3 linked regions of the Arabidopsis thaliana genome follow. The protein of the gene in region 2 interacts with the protein of the main gene of each other region in a biochemical or structural test. Each region holds a gene or a part of one and is shown on either strand. Other genes may lie near its edges.

Region 1 (5,734 bases), about 18 Mb from region 2:
TTGGTTCGGTAACAGCTGATGACGTCAAACGTATGATGGCTGAAATTGATACTGATGGTGATGGAAACATATCGTATCAAGAATTCACTGATTTTGCAGGTGCCAATCGTGGACTTATGAAGGATGTTGCCAAAATTTTCTAATTTTTTTTGCCATACTTTTACTTTTGAAATGTTTGAATTTTTTTATATATATTGAGAGATTTGGTTCTAAGCATCGTCAATTCTTATTTTTGTTGTTTTTACACTTGGTGAGTTTTAATTTATATGATTGTATCCTAATTCCATGTAATGTGATGTGAGTGGATCATTCTTGAAAAGGGGGCTAGTTTGTTTTGTTTTGGTTTGTTGAACACCACAACAACGAATGTTTTGTTTTAAAAAGATATAAAAATGGCTTTAACAGTGAAGAGAACCAAAACATTCATAATTTGTTTTGTTCCTTAAAGTTCATTATTTGGTTTAGGCTTCTCGCATATACATTTTAAATCATTGATATAAAATAAAGTAACTACATTTTTAGAATTACTTAAAAAGTAAATATATTGCGGATGCATTCTCTTTAACGTAAACCTCTCCGCCTATCCTCTCGGTCTCACCTCAAACTTTCTCCTAAGTCCATGTTAGGACTTAGCCGGAGAAACCAATAACTATGCCTACACAGCCGTCTCATCCATCGATTACGACATGCTGTGGCTGTGGGACTCATGTTCCTCTTTGTTAGGAAGTCTTATATAGTTATATTTATATAAAATCAAAAGCTGATATTGTTCGGATTGTTTAGTCTTGACTACTCAGATATTGAAGTGTTGTTACGGGTAAAATCAAGAAATGGTAAGTCTGAAGATGTTCCAAGACTTGAGGATATTTAAACATTGCCATGTTTAAAGTGAGTTTAGAGAATGAGAATGTGGTCCAACTTTATCATATCTTTCTATGAATACATGTATTTTTCAAAAGTGGTGATAAAATTAGTAGTAAATATCAAGTTTTCTTTTACACATTCCTAAGCAAAACGGTTTCACCCACTTGATCAAAAGCTGACAATGAAAACCTCTCAAAAAACCCAAAAGTAGAGTTTGGACTCCGGCTTTTCAGAATAAAAAGACTCAAGTGAGGTTTAGCTTCTTTACTTCTATCATCATCATCATCTCCCAGAAACGTTAGCCTCTATGTAATAATCGAGTCGGTCCAAATTCATTCATGCGTCATTTTGTATATATTTTGGGTGAAATTAAACGTAACGTCAATTCGTTGACAAAAAATAAAATAAACGTCATTTCTTTCATATTTATTCAAACTATGAAAACACTTGCTCGTGCTGTTGTTACATACACACATGTTCCTCGTTCTCGAATCTCCACGACCAACGAACCAACTGGGTCCCAAAAGTATAAGGCACGGAATATTTCGGGCGAAATTGTCACAAAACGAAACTACTGGGGTAAGTTAAAGTAAAATAAAAACATAAGGTCACGTTCGCTAAGTCTTTTTTCTTCTCCTCTTTATGACGACGTATCTACCGCCGCAACTCCGCCGCTAGTTTCCACGCCGATGCAGCGATTAGAGGTTTCGTTTGCCACGCAAGCATTAGGCTTCCGTCGTTCTCCTCCACTCTGTATCCATCTCCACCGCCAGATAACGCCAATAGCAAACTCGCTTGCTTAAACGCGTCTGATCCGAGGTTAACCGGGTCAAACCCGGCGGATCCCATACGTTTTCGCCACTGAGCCAGCGTCTCGTGTCGCTCGATCCTATCGCTTCCTTCCGTCGCCACCAAGTTCAATATCTGTCTCCCTAAGTAAACCTCCGACATGACTCGGTCTTGACTCGGTATCACAACACCATCTTCGAGCGAGTCGAACAAGCTCGAGTAATAGTGAAGCGCTTCGTTAAACCGGTCTAAGAAAACGTCACCGTTATGGTTCGCTTCTTGTTCCACCACTGTTACGAGACCCGGTTTAACCGCCTTAACCGTCGCTAACAGCTTTTCGATCGAACCGGGTTGGGATAAAACCGGGTGAAGCTCGAAAACCGAATTAACCACTAGAGTCTCCGATTCGGTTCGGGTCTCGAACATATCCGGTTCTAAATCGGATAACCTCTCCGTCGTTAGACCATTGAATTTGAATTCGACGCCGATGGCTTGAGCCAGCTGAGCTAGCTTCCAACCTAACTCTTGAATCCCTTCTCGATTCGACGGATTCCCAACGCCGGTGAGACGAAACGACGGTGGACCACCGGGTCGGAGAGCTAAGGCTTGCATTAACGCCGGCCATTGCATACCTTGATTAAGCCCTAGATCGATTACGTGTACGACACGCGACGTCGTAACAGCTTCTAGAATCGCCTGATTGGCCGTGAAATGAGCGAATTTCAGGTAGGGACACGAGTCGTAGAAGTTCATCTGAAGAATCTCTTCGAAGGAAGGATCAATGGCGGCGGCGGAAGGATGAATCCGGTAAATTCGACGAGCTAGGGCTTCGGCGAAGTAGGTAGCGACTTTCCCCATGGCTCCGGCTTGAGAAGCCGCGAGTAATCCCACGCGCTTGACGAGAGCATCCGCGAGGCTCAGATTCTCCAGCTGAACCGCCTCGGCGCAGGCCACTAGCGCCTGAACGAGTCTAACTCCTGTCTCCTCGATAAGCACCACGGAACGAGTTGACTCGCTGGTCACTGAGTCACACCAAGGACCGAGTCGAATCCTCTTGTTGCTGTTACTATTGCTACTGCAACACTCATCGTCGTCTGTGATTGGTCTCAGATCGCAAATCCGGTTCGGGTCAAGATCCGGGTAGTAATTAAGATCCGAGAGCATGCTCTGAGCCCAACCGGAGAGATCAGAAGGATTGTAATGAACGGTGTCATTGAAGGCATTACTAGAAGAGGCAATATCATTGGACAAGACCATTTCAAGCTGTTCAAGCTTCTGTGCAACATCTGCCATGTCTGAAGATCGAACCTTGTAACCCAAAACAGCAAGAAACTCGTCCATGTTATCGTCTCCACCACCACCACAACCATTTTCTAACTTCTCCACCATTGAAGGAGCTTCTTCTTCTACAGACGTTTCTTGATGGCTTCGTTTCATCGTCAAGAAATGGAATTTTTTGGTGTTGGAATTGGTTAGACAGAAATTGTGGAAAGAAAGGAGAAGAATTTAAACAGGAGAAGGTAAGAGAGGAGAGTTAGAGAGGTCCAATGAGGGAAGTGAGGGACCTGGAGAGTGTAAGTAAAAGAGATAAGAAGGAAGAGAGGCAGGCCATTATAATTTCGCATGTGTTTTCTTCTCTATTCTTTCTTTTCCAAATTATTTCATTTTTATTACTATAACTTTATTGAATTTCTGATCCAAGTTACAAAAAATTCGTCGCTCTGATAAGGGCGTGTAGTTTTTGTTTAATGGTCCAATGGACTGTCATAGTCTATTAAACTATTTTTTAATACCCACTAAATGTTGAATTTAGAGTTTCTAGAATTATTAAATTGGGTGCTGCAGTAGATATTAGTCATATCATATGACCTATATTGATAACCCAAATAGTTCTTCTCGAGAAATGGAACTTGTAAACTCCGAAAGTAACAGCCCGTTTTCTTCAAGTATCTTGTTTCTATAACAAAATTTTAACTAGTTAACGTGACATACTGTAATAATTTTACTGACAAAATTTGATATTTATTTTTTTAAATGATACTATCTCCTAATAATTTGTTTGCCGAAATGGTATAAAATAATACTAATTTTTAAAAAAGTTTGAGAAGAAAATAGAGGTCCCGATAGAAGTACAGCTCAAAGTATTGCAGTTAGGGAGACAACGTGACCAACCTCACGGTCGACATGTGGCGGCAGTCGACATTAGGTATCAGACGTCTACAACATTACGTTGCTTTCTTATTATTATTATGTTTTCATTTCTTTATGTGTGTAAATTGAATTTTATTCCCCATACCAAAAACATCATTTTAAACATGATAGTTACATATATAGAAGATTTTTATAATAGAGTAGAACTGAACATAAAAATAGATTTCACTCTTGAATTAGTTTGTTGGTCTAAGTACAAATGGCTTATTATTTTCCGTTTTGTGAAAATAATGTATAATCCTGTATAAAATAAAGTTTCGAGTAATTTTATATGACTTAGCGAATGAATACACAAGCTAAATATATTAGTATATTACCCTTCGTTCGTTGATATATTGGCAATTTTGAGGGAAACAAATAAATGACGAGACTATTTAATGGCCGGATACGTTTTGAAATGTTACCCAAGTTACTTTCTCGACATTTTAGGCGGATGATCCATTGACTAATTATCCTCTTAATTATTCGAACAATAAAAAAAACTACACTATCCAAAACGTGTGGTAAGAAGATATTTATCCACAATGTTCCGTAAATATCTCATTTATTTACATTTTGAAACCTATCATCAAACTAAGTAACCAACCCTGAAATATTTAGTCAATTATCTTACAAAAGAAACTCAACAAATCCCCTATCATTGTGACAAAAACCCTTGATTTCACTCTCTATATATACTTAATGATCTTCCTAAAACACAGTCACAACGAAATAAGCATGGCAAAAGCAATCGCTTTAACTGTCTTTTTGTTCTTATTCTTGTCATTAATATCTCTAACCCTAGCAACAGATTATCCACTATTCACAAAGTCTCGATGGATCGTAAACAACAAGGGCCACCGCGTGAAGCTAGCTTGCGCGAACTGGCCTTCGCACCTCAAGCCAGTGGTAGCAGAGGGGCTGAGCAGCCAGCCAATGGATTCAATATCGAAAAAGATAAAAGACATGGGATTCAATTGTGTTAGGCTCACTTGGCCACTTGAATTAATGATTAATGACACTTTAGCCTTTAATGTTACCGTGAAACAATCATTTGAGAGATATGGATTGGATCATGAGCTTCAAGGGATTTACACTCACAATCCATACATTGTCAATACTCCTCTCATCAATGTCTTTCAGGTATAAATACATAATTAATCATGTGATTCTAGTATTACATAATTTCTTCAACTCAAACAAAAACTATTCTTTTCATGTTCAATTAAAAATCCATGGTTTTTAAATAAGTCATTTGTGACTGAAAAATATGACTAAAACATGTTTTATCTTATATTGCAATAATGATTATTTTTCCATTTCTTTTCAGATCTGATCATCGTTGTAATGAAAAAAATATATTTCACATGCTTCTTGTTTTTACTATATGATATCTTCTAACGCAAGGCAACATGTTTGTGTAGGCTGTGGTGTATAGTCTTGGGAGGCATGATGTGATGGTGATACTTGACAACCACAAGACCGTACCGGGGTGGTGTTGTAGCAACGATGACCCGGACGCGTTCTTTGGCGACCCAAAATTCAACCCGGATCTATGGATGTTGGGTCTTAAGAAGATGGCCACAATATTTATGAACGTGAAAAACGTTGTTGGTATGAGCCTGAGGAATGAACTTAGAGGCTACAATCATACATCAAAAGATTGGTACAAGTACGTATTTATAAATTCCATTTTCATTTATTTATCATAACGCCCATGTGAAGCTTGAAGGCCAAGGAAATTAATACACGTTAATTATCTGTCTATTTTAGATCTTAACAGATTATATTCCGTTGTGCTATACATAATTAAATCCACAATAATAGTTAAGTACAAGTACATTAAAAAATATATATTTATATTGGTTAATATAGGAATCCAATGTCCATC
Region 2 (7,566 bases):
AAATCTTTAGGCCACGTTTCGAAAGTACACACGATTTACTCCTAATTAGAGAGATTATAATATCAAACTATAGATTTCGTGGAAAACCAAAGAAGTAAAATCATTGGTCCGCTTGATTATGTATATCTATTTTCGAAGTTTTAAGAAAAAGATGAATAGAAAAGTTAATAACAAAGCAAATAATAAAACATGGAAATAGAGTATATGTAATAGACTAATAGTAGTTTTAACCTTTAAGCCTTTTCTCGTGCTAAAATCATGTAAGAATTCTTTTGACATTTTAACAAAAAAAATGTAAGAACATAAATAATGAGAGTCACGACAGCTTTTGCTTTAGTTAAGCACACGAGAAATCATCGATTGCAAGTTCATAGTTACTATCTCGCATCCTAACTAAAATGATACAAATGCATTGAGCCTATATCTCTTTTTTTCTTTGCCATAAAGTTATTTTTTATATACATATTGCAAGAGTAAATTCTAAGGTTGAAAGTGCTGTGCCTGTTATACGTAATTAATTCAGTTTTTTTTTTTTTTTTTCTTCCGTAATTAATTCAGTTTCAGTTTTCCTTTTTTTACATACTTTCAAACAAAGTAAAGGTAGTCAACGTTTAGTTGAAAATTTTAAAGTGTGATTGATAGCCAGTATAAAGCAAGATTTTTATCTTTTAATAGTACTAAGTTAAAATTTTAAATGACTCAAAGTAAACGCAGATATTATCACGTTTACTTTAAAACGCGTATTGACTTTGAATGACTTGAGTTTTTCTATTTTAGCAACTAGCAAGCATAACTTTGTATATTAGTTTAGTTTAGTTTTGTTTTGTTTTATCTCCTTACAAAATCGTATTACTTTTTTTTTTGTCGGACAAAATATAGTATTACGTACTAGTTCCTGCTGGAGATCCAAAACTTCTATTATCTACGCTTTTAGTTTATAGTCCAAGTTTTGAATTGTTTTTGTCCTATTAATTAAATCTTTAATGTTTTCATATAATCGAAAGATTTTCAAAACATATATAGACCATCATAATTTTTCTAACCCTATTAAATCATATCAGCTTCCATTTAAAACGTTGATATAATATTCATCTACTTCCACCTACTACTTGTTCTTAAAGTGTGTAACTATATATCACGTGAACTGAATTTTGCCATGAACATCTCATGAACGAGGTACCTAAAAATACATGTTCCTGTTATTCACTTTTGAATTTTGTTTCTAATATATATCACGGAGAAAATGTTGAATTCTGAAAAGTTGACATTTAACAAGAAATGTTGGTTAAAGACTTAAAGCCATGCTTCGAGATGCGACTTCAAATTTTTTTCGTATCACATATTTGTGTTAATGACATTTTTTGTTATCACTCGTTTACAAGTTATCTATATCAACAAAGGCAACAAAAAAAACAAAATAGAAAAAAAAAAAAATCACCTTATATACATGAATGGTGGATTTAGATGAAAAAATGGTTGTGAAAGGAAGTCGAGAATCTAAACTAATCTAATGGAAAATTTAAATAAAATGTTAAGTTTGTCTTATAAATGCATCTCATAGTATATGTTGCATACCACTCTCAATTAGAATAATGGTTCGAATAAAGAAAAAAACCAAATTATTTGCTTTAAAATTTATGTAAAAGAATATTAATTATTTTCTAAACAACAATATATAAGCAAAAAGTATAATTTTTGGTGCCTTTAAAGATGTGATTGTCATATTAAAAAGAAAATTTCCCTAAAGAATTAATGGTCTAATTATTTAGCTAGCTTGTACTCCAGACCAAACCTGTTCTTCTGATGGCTCAAACTTAAAAAAACTTAGGTGATAAATGCAACGAACCAACAGAAAAAAATCAATTTAACTCACATCCACAATTTTTTTTGGTTCATAATTACCACATCCACAATTATTATTATTACTTTTATTATACTCCCACAATATTTTTTTGCCGTATGTATGAAACATACCAATTTTTATAGAGAGGCAGAGATACGCGTACAGCTTTTATAATTGAAAAGGGCAAAAGTAAAGTAGTACTTATTATTCACTTCTTCTTCACCTTTTCTCTTTGAATTTTCTTCTTCACTCTGCAACTTCTCTTCCCCACCTTTCTATATTTACTATTTTCTATCTTCAATTTGTTGGATCCGAAAGTTCCTTCCTTTTTTGTTTTTATTATTCTTTATTCAAAAGCCAGTTTTTGTGATCCATTTGAAATCCCAATTTGTCTACTTCTCCCAATAATAACTCTTTTTATATCTCTTTTTTTCTTCCTTTACTTCAGAAAACAAGTCTACCTTCTTCTCTTCTTCTACCTTCTTCTCTTATAAAACCTATCTAAAGCCTTTTCATTTTTTTGGCCGGTGGGATATTGTTTGAATGAGTTCAACCAAAAATCTTATATATTCTTATCCTTTTTTTTCCCGATCAGAACTCAGTTCATAAAACTTGTCTGAATAATTTAAGAACCCAACTCAAAAGATTCAATTTTTCGTTTTTCCATTTTCCTTCAAAGTCTTAGCCTAATAAAAGATTCGATTTTTATACAATTATTTAATACCCACATATAATTGAAGAAAGAGAGACAGAGAGATAACACAAAAGTGGAAGTAAACGAAGAACGATGAGAGCTGGTTTAAGTACGATTCAACAGACTCTGACGCCGGAGGCTGCCACCGTTTTAAACCAATCAATCGCCGAAGCCGCGCGTCGTAATCACGGCCAAACCACTCCTCTCCACGTTGCAGCCACTCTTCTAGCTTCTCCTGCTGGGTTTCTCCGACGAGCTTGTATCCGATCTCACCCCAATTCTTCTCATCCTTTACAGTGTCGAGCCCTCGAGCTCTGCTTCAGCGTCGCCTTAGAGCGTCTCCCAACAGCTACAACCACTCCGGGGAATGATCCACCGATCTCAAACGCGCTTATGGCGGCGCTTAAACGAGCTCAAGCTCATCAACGCCGTGGTTGTCCGGAGCAACAACAGCAACCGTTGTTGGCCGTTAAAGTTGAGCTTGAACAGCTCATTATCTCGATTTTGGATGATCCGAGTGTTAGTCGGGTTATGAGAGAAGCTAGCTTTTCAAGTCCCGCCGTTAAAGCTACAATTGAACAGTCGTTGAATAATTCGGTTACTCCGACGCCGATTCCTAGTGTTTCTTCAGTCGGGTTGAATTTTAGACCCGGTGGTGGAGGTCCGATGACCCGGAATTCGTATCTTAATCCACGGTTACAACAGAACGCTTCGTCGGTACAATCAGGGGTGAGTAAGAACGATGATGTGGAGCGGGTTATGGATATATTGGGTCGGGCGAAGAAGAAAAACCCGGTTTTGGTTGGTGATTCGGAGCCGGGTCGGGTTATTCGTGAGATCCTTAAGAAAATTGAAGTCGGTGAAGTTGGGAATTTAGCGGTGAAGAACTCAAAGGTGGTTTCTTTAGAGGAGATTAGTTCCGATAAGGCTTTAAGAATTAAGGAATTAGATGGGTTGCTTCAGACCCGATTAAAGAATTCGGATCCTATTGGTGGCGGCGGAGTGATACTTGATCTTGGTGACTTGAAATGGCTAGTGGAGCAACCGAGTTCAACGCAACCGCCGGCTACGGTTGCGGTGGAGATTGGGAGGACGGCGGTGGTGGAGTTACGGAGGCTTTTGGAGAAGTTTGAAGGAAGACTCTGGTTTATAGGGACGGCGACGTGTGAGACTTATTTAAGATGTCAAGTTTATCATCCATCAGTGGAGACTGATTGGGATCTTCAAGCTGTGTCGGTGGCAGCTAAAGCTCCAGCGTCTGGCGTTTTCCCGAGGTGGGTTGTGTTAAAGTTTCTTCTTTTTGCTAAAGAAAAATCTCAGCTTTTATGATTTTTTTTCTTAGCCTAGATTCATGTTTTGATTCAGGCTTGCGAACAATTTGGAATCATTCACGCCATTGAAGAGCTTTGTGCCTGCGAATAGGACATTGAAATGTTGTCCACAGTGTTTACAGAGTTACGAGCGAGAACTTGCTGAGATTGATTCAGTGTCTTCTCCAGAGGTTAAATCTGAAGTAGCTCAGCCTAAACAGTTGCCACAGTGGCTGTTGAAAGCTAAACCGGTTGATCGTTTACCGGTAAGTTCCGGTTATTGAATCTTCTCTTCAACAATTGCAATGGCTTTATGATATGATTGCAGATCATAAATTTATCAGTTTTGTAATGTTTTTATTACAGCAAGCAAAGATTGAAGAAGTGCAGAAGAAATGGAATGATGCATGCGTGCGTCTTCATCCTAGCTTTCATAACAAGAACGAGAGGATTGTTCCGATCCCGGTTCCTATAACGTTGACAACGAGCCCTTACAGTCCTAACATGCTTCTTCGTCAGCCGTTGCAGCCTAAGTTACAGCCTAATAGAGAGTTGCGTGAGAGGGTACACTTGAAGCCTATGAGTCCTTTGGTGGCTGAGCAGGCCAAGAAGAAGAGTCCTCCCGGGAGCCCGGTTCAGACCGATCTTGTTCTTGGACGAGCAGAGGTTTGTTGATTTGAATGTTTGTATACTGTGATGAAAATGTTTATCTAATCGAAATCACAAACCTGACGCTAAATACTTGCGTTTGCGTATTTCAGGATTCGGAGAAAGCAGGAGATGTGCAAGTAAGAGACTTTCTCGGCTGCATATCGTCTGAATCAGTGCAGAACAATAATAACATCAGTGTTTTGCAAAAGGAGAATCTTGGGAATTCGTTAGACATTGATTTGTTTAAGAAGCTGTTGAAGGGAATGACCGAGAAAGTTTGGTGGCAGAATGATGCAGCCGCTGCGGTGGCTGCAACTGTTAGTCAGTGCAAGCTCGGGAATGGGAAACGACGCGGTGTTTTATCAAAGGGAGATGTCTGGTTACTTTTTTCAGGACCGGATAGAGTGGGGAAGAGAAAAATGGTGTCAGCTCTGTCTTCTCTTGTGTATGGGACGAATCCAATAATGATTCAGCTCGGGTCGAGACAAGATGCTGGAGATGGAAATTCTAGTTTCCGTGGTAAAACCGCGTTGGATAAGATTGCGGAAACTGTTAAGAGGAGTCCGTTCTCTGTTATCTTGCTTGAAGATATTGACGAAGCTGATATGTTGGTGCGTGGAAGCATAAAACAGGCAATGGATAGAGGCAGAATCCGTGACTCGCATGGCCGTGAGATCAGTTTAGGTAACGTGATCTTTGTTATGACAGCGAGCTGGCATTTCGCAGGGACGAAAACATCGTTCCTAGACAATGAAGCAAAACTACGAGATTTGGCTAGCGAAAGCTGGCGTTTGAGGTTGTGCATGCGGGAGAAATTTGGGAAACGACGAGCAAGTTGGCTGTGTAGCGACGAGGAGAGGCTGACGAAACCGAAGAAAGAACATGGATCGGGTTTATCTTTCGATCTGAACCAAGCCGCTGATACGGATGATGGTTCTCATAATACGAGCGATCTAACAACAGATAATGATCAAGACGAGCAAGGTTTTAGTGGAAAGCTGTCACTACAATGCGTTCCATTTGCATTCCACGATATGGTTAGCCGTGTAGATGATGCGGTAGCGTTTCGAGCAGTTGATTTCGCAGCTGTGAGACGGAGAATCACAGAAACATTATCTGAGAGATTCGAAACGATCATAGGCGAATCACTATCAGTAGAAGTCGAGGAAGAGGCACTTCAGAGAATCTTGAGTGGAGTGTGGTTAGGCCAAACAGAGTTAGAGGAATGGATTGAGAAAGCGATTGTTCCGGTGTTGAGCCAACTTAAGGCTCGAGTTTCGTCTTCTGGTACTTACGGTGACTGTACGGTTGCTCGGCTCGAGCTAGATGAAGATTCCGGTGAACGAAACGCCGGTGATTTACTGCCGACAACTATTACTTTGGCAGTATGAGAGTTGTAAAACAGAGATTGGAGTTTTGTTGTTACAGTGGACTGTGGAAAAGGGTAGAGATGTAAATATGTCTCAACTGGTTTTGGCGGGGGGAAAGGGAAACAGTTAGGGGTAAAAATAGTAAAAAAAAAGGTGTTTATAGTTCTTTACTTCTTTTTGTTTTACTCCACAGTCTAGATTTTTGTTGTGTTTTATGTATGGTAACGGGAGGGGTGATTTATGTAGCGATTATAGATATATTTATTTGATAGATAAATAATGAAAGATTAATAAAGTTAAAAGTATGTTTTTGTTTTCTCAGTTACAAGATTAATCTAAAGAAGTTCAAACAATTGCATTTTCTTTAGTCGTCGTGTATATTTGGGGACCATTTGATTTAAGAAGAAGTGTAAAAGCAGTTTTTAATGGCAGAAAGAAAATCTGTAACTACTTAGGTTCTTTTGCATTTGTCTATAGAGAACGAAAAAAATGTAAGAGAAAAAGACAAAAATGGAAAGAAAAAAGGCAAACAAAAAGTTTCCAAAAAAAGAAAGATAACACACTTTAAAAGTTGAAAGCTAAAGAAGATAACAAAAAATATTAAATTAAAACAAAGTTTGGTTCACTGAATGATGAACATTGCATGTGTTTCGTCATTTAATTATATAAATTCTTCAATTATTATTGCAATTTGACCTTTTCCTCGTACTCTTTTTTTCTTTTTGTTAATAATTAATTAATAACTAGTAGTATTAAATTATTACTTTATCCTTTAGAAGCCTTACCTGTTACAACTACAAAAAGGTATGACGCAAAAGTCTCCTAGATCCAATACTTTTTAACTAAAATGTATGAAATCTAACGTATAAAGTTGTATAAATGGCTAATTGTTTGTTTGCGTCGAGATAAAGGGGGAAAAGCTGTTGTATTGTGATGTCAAAATAATTAGTACTTTAATATAGTGGTTGGATAACACTAAACATAACCTTTTTGATCAATTAGGGTAGATTTAGATTTATCGAATGCATGAGAATTGTGAAATAATTAAATAATGTATGCCCAATAAATGTGAAAAAGATGGCAACTTGTAAGAAAATTGGAGGGTTTGCTATAAATTTATTGACGCGTTTGATTTGGACAACTCAACTTCTTGTAGAGAAGACTAAGCTGTCTTCTAGTTCAAAGCTTTCATGAAATATCTAATCTTTAAAACCACAATAGTGAATGATCCATGTGAAAAAATAATAATATAAAATTATATAATTGAGAAGATAATATAATGCTGATGTTAGAAAAAGAGAGTGTATATTAACATACAAAATTTTAAATTCAGTCATCACTAGACACAATTGTTGACCTGTACCTCATGGGTTTAATCCTGTGCATGATTGAGAAAAAAAGAAGCTAACCATTAAATTATATATAAGAATGGGCCTGAAGATAGCCCAATAAAGAGACCAAAAGAGTATGTATGTAATGTACGTAAATGATGTAAAAGTCTAAAAGAGTAAACTAGTAACTTGGTCTATTTCGAAAACAAATCGTTTAAGTAGCAAATTTGTTATGTAATTTACTTTAGTTTGGGATCAGTTTTAACAAAATTTGCTTGTAACTAAATCTTTTCGACTGTCCATTTTTAAAAGTGAGCAAAGTTGAGGCACATTTGATGAAAAAACATATCCATCATTTCTACCAAAC
Region 3 (5,313 bases), on a different chromosome or scaffold from region 2:
CAAAACCAAAGAGAAAAAGTCTCGTGTTTCTTTCCTAAATGACTGGTGTCGTGTTTAAGAACATTTGTAATTACATTCCATTTCTAGATATTGCTTTCCTTAAATGGTCCGAAATATGAGCCTAAAAAATTTAAACTTGCCAAGGTCAATACCATAGAAAGCGTTATACATTGACTTCATGCATGTACTTTTGCAGCTTTTAATCGCGGCTTCGACGCGTCATTAGTTCATTAAAAGATTTTTAAAATGACTAATTAAATTATCGTAAAAAGGTAATATCATAGAATTACACACACGAGAAACTTATATTAGGAGTTGGGTTAGGCCTCAAACTTCCCTTATTGGGCTTGGGTTTGGACTTCACAATTTAATCAAACCTAGAATGCACCATTATTGAAAAGAAAATACTTTCAACGAGTAAAACAAAATTTTAAAATGGTTGTAGTGTCGAAGAATGATGATGCCCATCAAATTAAAATCTCGTTTCCAAGAACATATTCTGAGGAAGGTTTTATTACCAAAACAATTCTGGTTATACTTGGAAAATTGTTACAAAATTGTGTAAGTAAGTTATAAGAAACAACATATAAAAGTTTTAGAAAGGTAAAAGTATTTGAAAATTTGTTAAAATTTATGAGGATTTATAATAGTTTCCCAAATTTATATATTCATATAAAGTTTCTAAAGACAAATTTATGTTTTGCGTCATTACGAATTCCTGATGAACAAACCTCTCTACCGACAGAAACTTATGAACTTATGTACAGTATAATTATGTCAGCTCATGCATATTTCTTCTAAAAGTAATAAAATTGGTAGTTGTTAAATTGATTACCAACAAAATGTTACCTACGAAAATCATTTTCTTAAAATGATGTCAACATGCGATAACAGGAATGCTCATATATTATTTGGCGGTGGGTACTAATTAAATCAACGTCAAAAGAGCACAAATACATTTTAAACACACCACTGTCCTCCTTAATTAAAGAGATAATGACCCTTTAACCAATCTATTTAAAGTCCATGGTCTTAGGATTATTCTCAAAAGAACTTGACTACTGGTTCGTGTCATGAAACATTTATCCATATCTATCAGACTATCACCTTATATATATCATTATTTCATCTCTTATTCAATTTTAATTTTATCGAAAACCAAAGATGAAATAGAAAAGACCTTTTTTACCTTAATGAGAACAAGTGATAAAAAATCATTTCATTGGCCTGACCCTGACGTAATAGTCTATTTATGCGAGGTCAAAATCTCGTGACAAGTGAACAAAATTTAGAATTCATAAAATTTGGAAAACGTGGGACTTTTTTTCTTTATCAGCAATGCAATAAAGTATATAGCACATTTTCACTTTTCCCATTATTTATTTTTATTCCACACGATTGATTCGCCACGCAGATGTTGCAATAAGCGGTCGCGTTTGCCATCCAAGCAACAAACAACCTTCATTCTCTTCCACATTATACCCATCAGCCCCGGCATAAAGTGCCAACAACATGCTTGCTTGCTTATACGCGTTCGAACCGATACTAACCGGTTTAAATCCTCCTAAACCGAACCGGTTTCTCCACTGATTTAAAGTCTCATGCCTCTCTACCCGGTCTTCTCCTTCGCATGCCACAAGGTTTAGTATCTGCCGTCCTAGGAATAACTCCGACATCACTCGGTCTTGGCTTGGCGGGCCCTCGAGCGAGTCGAATAAGCTCGAATAGTAATGTAGCGATTCCGTGAACCGATCGAGAAATACGGTACCGTTATGGTTTGCTTCTTGCTCGACCACAGTCATTATATCCGGTCGGATTGATTTGATTGTCGATAAAAACTTATCGATGGAACCGGGATGAGCTAAGAGGCGATGAAGCTCGAAGACCGAGTTAACCGCCACTGATTCTAAACCGGGTCTAATGTCTAGCATTTCCGGTTTAAGATCAGACAAATTGTTTAAAGCAATGCTCTTGAATTCGAAATTGACACCAATAGTACTCGCAAGCTGACCAAGTTTCCAACCAACTTCTTGAATATCGGTTAACGAATAACCGATCCCGGTTAACCGAAAATCCGGTGGACCATTAGGACGTAAAGCAAGAGCTTGAATCAAAGCCGGCCATTGTAAACCATGGTTAAGTCCTAAATCAATAACATGAACCTTCTCCGCCGTAGCAAAAACCTCAAGTATCGCTTGATTCGCCGTAAAATGCGCAAACTTGAGATACGGACAAGACTCATAGAAATGAATCTGAAGAGTGTCCGAAAACGAAGACAACGCGACATCGTCTCGAGGGTAAATACGGTAAATCCTTCTCGCAAGCCCTTCAGCGAAGTAAGTCGCGACTTTCCTCATAGCACCAGCTTGAGAGGACGCGAGTAACCCCACGTGCTTCACGAGCGCGTCGGCTAACTTCAAATTGTTCTGTTGAACAGCTTCAGCACAAGCTAATAGCGCGTGGACTAAACGCACTCCAGTTTCTTGAGAATCCAAAACCACCACAGAGCGCGTAGAGGATAACTCCGATTCAATTCTCGTCCTCTTGCTCCGACGAGTCACGTGCTCGTCACGTGGATACACTGCAGAGCCAGGAATAGCTCTAAGATCGTACTCTGAGTCAGGCTTTTCTTGAATCCGGGTCGGGTCAAGATCCGAGAGCATGCTTTCGACCCAACCAGAGAGATCAGAAGGATTGTAATGAACAGTTTCATCAGAAAGATTCGAGATTCCATCACCAAGAACCATCTCTAACTGTTCAAGCTTGTGTGCCACGTCAGCCATGTCGGATGATCGAACTTTGTAACCTAAAACAACCAAAAGCTCGTCAACTCCGGCAGCTTCTTCTTTAATCACCGTCGTCATTGATGAACTCCCACCTTCTCCGGCGGATGATTCACGGTGGTTGTGCTCTCTCTTCATTAAAATTGATTTGCAAGATTTTGTAAGATGAGAAGAAAGAGAAGAATAAGAGAAAAGATTAGGAACACGGGAGTGTCATAATAATTGAAGAAGAAGAAAGAAAAATAAAATTCTATTTTTAAATAATGATATGATTTTTTTTTATAATGTATGATTATTATTATATAGAAAAATAAAATAACATTTGGGGTTTCGAGCTAGCTTTTAATTGGAGTATATGAAATTTAGTACCGGCAAGTTCTTAAAAGCAAGAGCAGAGCCGTGGTACAACCGCAATCTAAAGCAATTATAAAAGGAAATTTATTTACCTATTTTATTTTCCTCTTTATATAATATACAGTAAATAATAGTAGATTCCTTTCTCTTCTTTTTCTGCGAATAAATTTTAATTTTCAAAATATGCTTCTCGAGAAAATTCAGTTTGATTGATGTAAACCTGACATCATTATTTGAACGAGATATTCTATAATCTATGCTATGTCATAATTATTTTGATTAAAAACTATAACAACTTGTTTTTGATATTTGATTATTTTGTGATTTTGATTATTTGATGAAGACTAGGTGTAATATTAAATAACGGTTATGATTTGGAAGTTGTATTGTAGAGAAACATTTAGGTTAAAAGTCCAATTTCTAAAGCCAACCACCACCCTTTTTTCAACTACAAAAACATACATTTCATTTTTATAGTTTTTGGTGATTAGGAGATTTACTTTTTATGTGTTGTGTTGTGATTATTGTTCAAACTTTTATATCATCTTCATAAATGAGAATAAATAAAGAAATTCATTATGTTCATAAGAAAATATATTAAACTATAAATTTCAGGGAAATCTTGTTTAGTTTTCTGTTTTTATATTATCGGGTGATTAATCTTTAGGTGATGTAATGAATTCTATTTTTACCAATTCCTCCATTTCATATAGAATAATGTTTGAAAGTTGTTTTTTTTTTTGCATAATGATGGCATTGTACGTTTCACATTTCGAATGTAGATTTTCAAACCGTATTACTAATACAAAAATTGAATTTATATCATCGCCATTCAATTGTAGTATTATGATTGTGGTCATATTTGTATATGTTTTATTATTTTTAATTGACTAAAAACGTAATTTAGTGATTTGTGCTAGTGTGCAAGAGCTGATGTGACACCGTCGAAGTTCAAACTCATATGCATGTTGTTGTTGATACAAAAAAAAATTGGTAATCGGAAAATACATGAAATCTAGCTATTCTTGTAAGCGTCGTTGTGAAATTATCACTCGAATTCGAATCACCTTTGTAACAATAAATATTTCTTACTTTTTTTGTAGGATTGGCGCTCTTCCTCAAAGAAATGACTATCAAGTAGTGTAAGCATAAGAGATTGACAAAACAAAGCAAAAGATGTTTTATGTAAAATATTTGCATATATTTTTAGTTGCGAAAAAAAATTACAACTAACGTGCAAAAATGTCTTTTGCAAAAATAATTAAGTTGACTTAAGAACTGTCGTCAAAATAACCCAACAAGAATATATAATAATATCATTCTATATTCTTATTAGCGATATTAGTATTATATATTTTTGTGTTGTAATACGCATTTTTATTATATACTTGTGTTTTAGACATGTTCAAAAGGCGATAGATGGAGAATAAATAAAATACTGTGTGGTTACGACCATTATTAGATGTGGAGCTCTTTCGGTATGAGCTTTAAGAAAGATACATGCAATCATAAAACATTTTTAAGCTTCCCCATATGCATAACCATTTTTCATAGTTCTACAATGACCCTTTTCACATAATGCATATCCTCATTTCGAACCAAGATTGTTACTTTGATTGATTAGGTTATACTGTTAGATGTTGATGTCTAGGTCCAAATATTTTTGATAGTTTCTTTAATTTCTTTGCTATTAATAGTAGACTAGACTTGATCATTATGATAGTTAGGAGACTTTTCCTCAAAACATGTATGTAAAAATGTCTAAACAATGATAATTAAAATTAAGGTTCTATTTTAGTTTAGTAGGTTTTGTTTACTAATACTTGTTGGAAAGTATGATGATTTACAAGGATGATTAGTGCCTTGAAAGAGAAATAGTCATAATTAAGTGACTATATTCTATGACATTGTTTAATTCAACAGTTTTCATCAGTATTATTCGTTCTTTTTAATTTCGAATCGTTTGGTACCTTCGGTTATTGGTTGGTAAGAACTTAGTAGTCTACTTGCTCTTTTTATCATCACCAATACATTAAGGGAATAAACATTAATTGGTTACCCAAATAATGGGCTAAAATACTACATGCTAAACACTTTCGTCCGAGAGATTAATTCACGAGGACCTAAAGTACAATAAGAGAAAACAATAGTCCACTAAAGTGGAGCCACTCAAAGG

The links.
Region 1: the proteins of AT5G57710 (region 2) and RGL3 form a complex in vitro, tested with the Arabidopsis thaliana proteins (one study listed by BioGRID).
Region 3: the proteins of AT5G57710 (region 2) and RGL1 form a complex in vitro, tested with the Arabidopsis thaliana proteins (one study listed by BioGRID).

Annotation. Positions count from the first base shown.
Region 1 is NC_003076.8:5,762,798-5,768,531, forward strand, and holds RGL3 (RGA-like protein 3), read right to left. Parts: upstream 3,450-5,734; 5' UTR 3,091-3,449; coding exon 1,519-3,090; 3' UTR 1,192-1,518; downstream 1-1,191. Other genes in the region: PC1 (pollen calcium-binding protein 1), read left to right, coding at 1-143; AT5G17500 (Glycosyl hydrolase superfamily protein), read left to right, coding at 4,582-4,986, 5,268-5,515. UniProt on the Arabidopsis thaliana protein: Probable transcriptional regulator that acts as a repressor of the gibberellin (GA) signaling pathway. No effect of the BOI proteins on its stability.
Region 2 is NC_003076.8:23,382,164-23,389,729, forward strand, and holds AT5G57710 (Double Clp-N motif-containing P-loop nucleoside triphosphate hydrolases superfamily protein), read left to right. Parts: upstream 1-2,091; 5' UTR 2,092-2,630; coding exon 2,631-3,811; intron 3,812-3,902; coding exon 3,903-4,113; intron 4,114-4,213; coding exon 4,214-4,513; intron 4,514-4,608; coding exon 4,609-5,889; 3' UTR 5,890-6,302; downstream 6,303-7,566. UniProt on the Arabidopsis thaliana protein: Probable component of a transcriptional corepressor complex that acts downstream of MAX2 to negatively regulate karrikins/strigolactone responses. Probable target of MAX2 during germination and seedling photomorphogenesis.
Region 3 is NC_003070.9:24,745,935-24,751,247, reverse strand, and holds RGL1 (RGA-like 1), read right to left. Parts: upstream 3,144-5,313; 5' UTR 2,922-3,143; coding exon 1,386-2,921; 3' UTR 1,062-1,385; downstream 1-1,061. UniProt on the Arabidopsis thaliana protein: Probable transcriptional regulator that acts as a repressor of the gibberellin (GA) signaling pathway. No effect of the BOI proteins on its stability.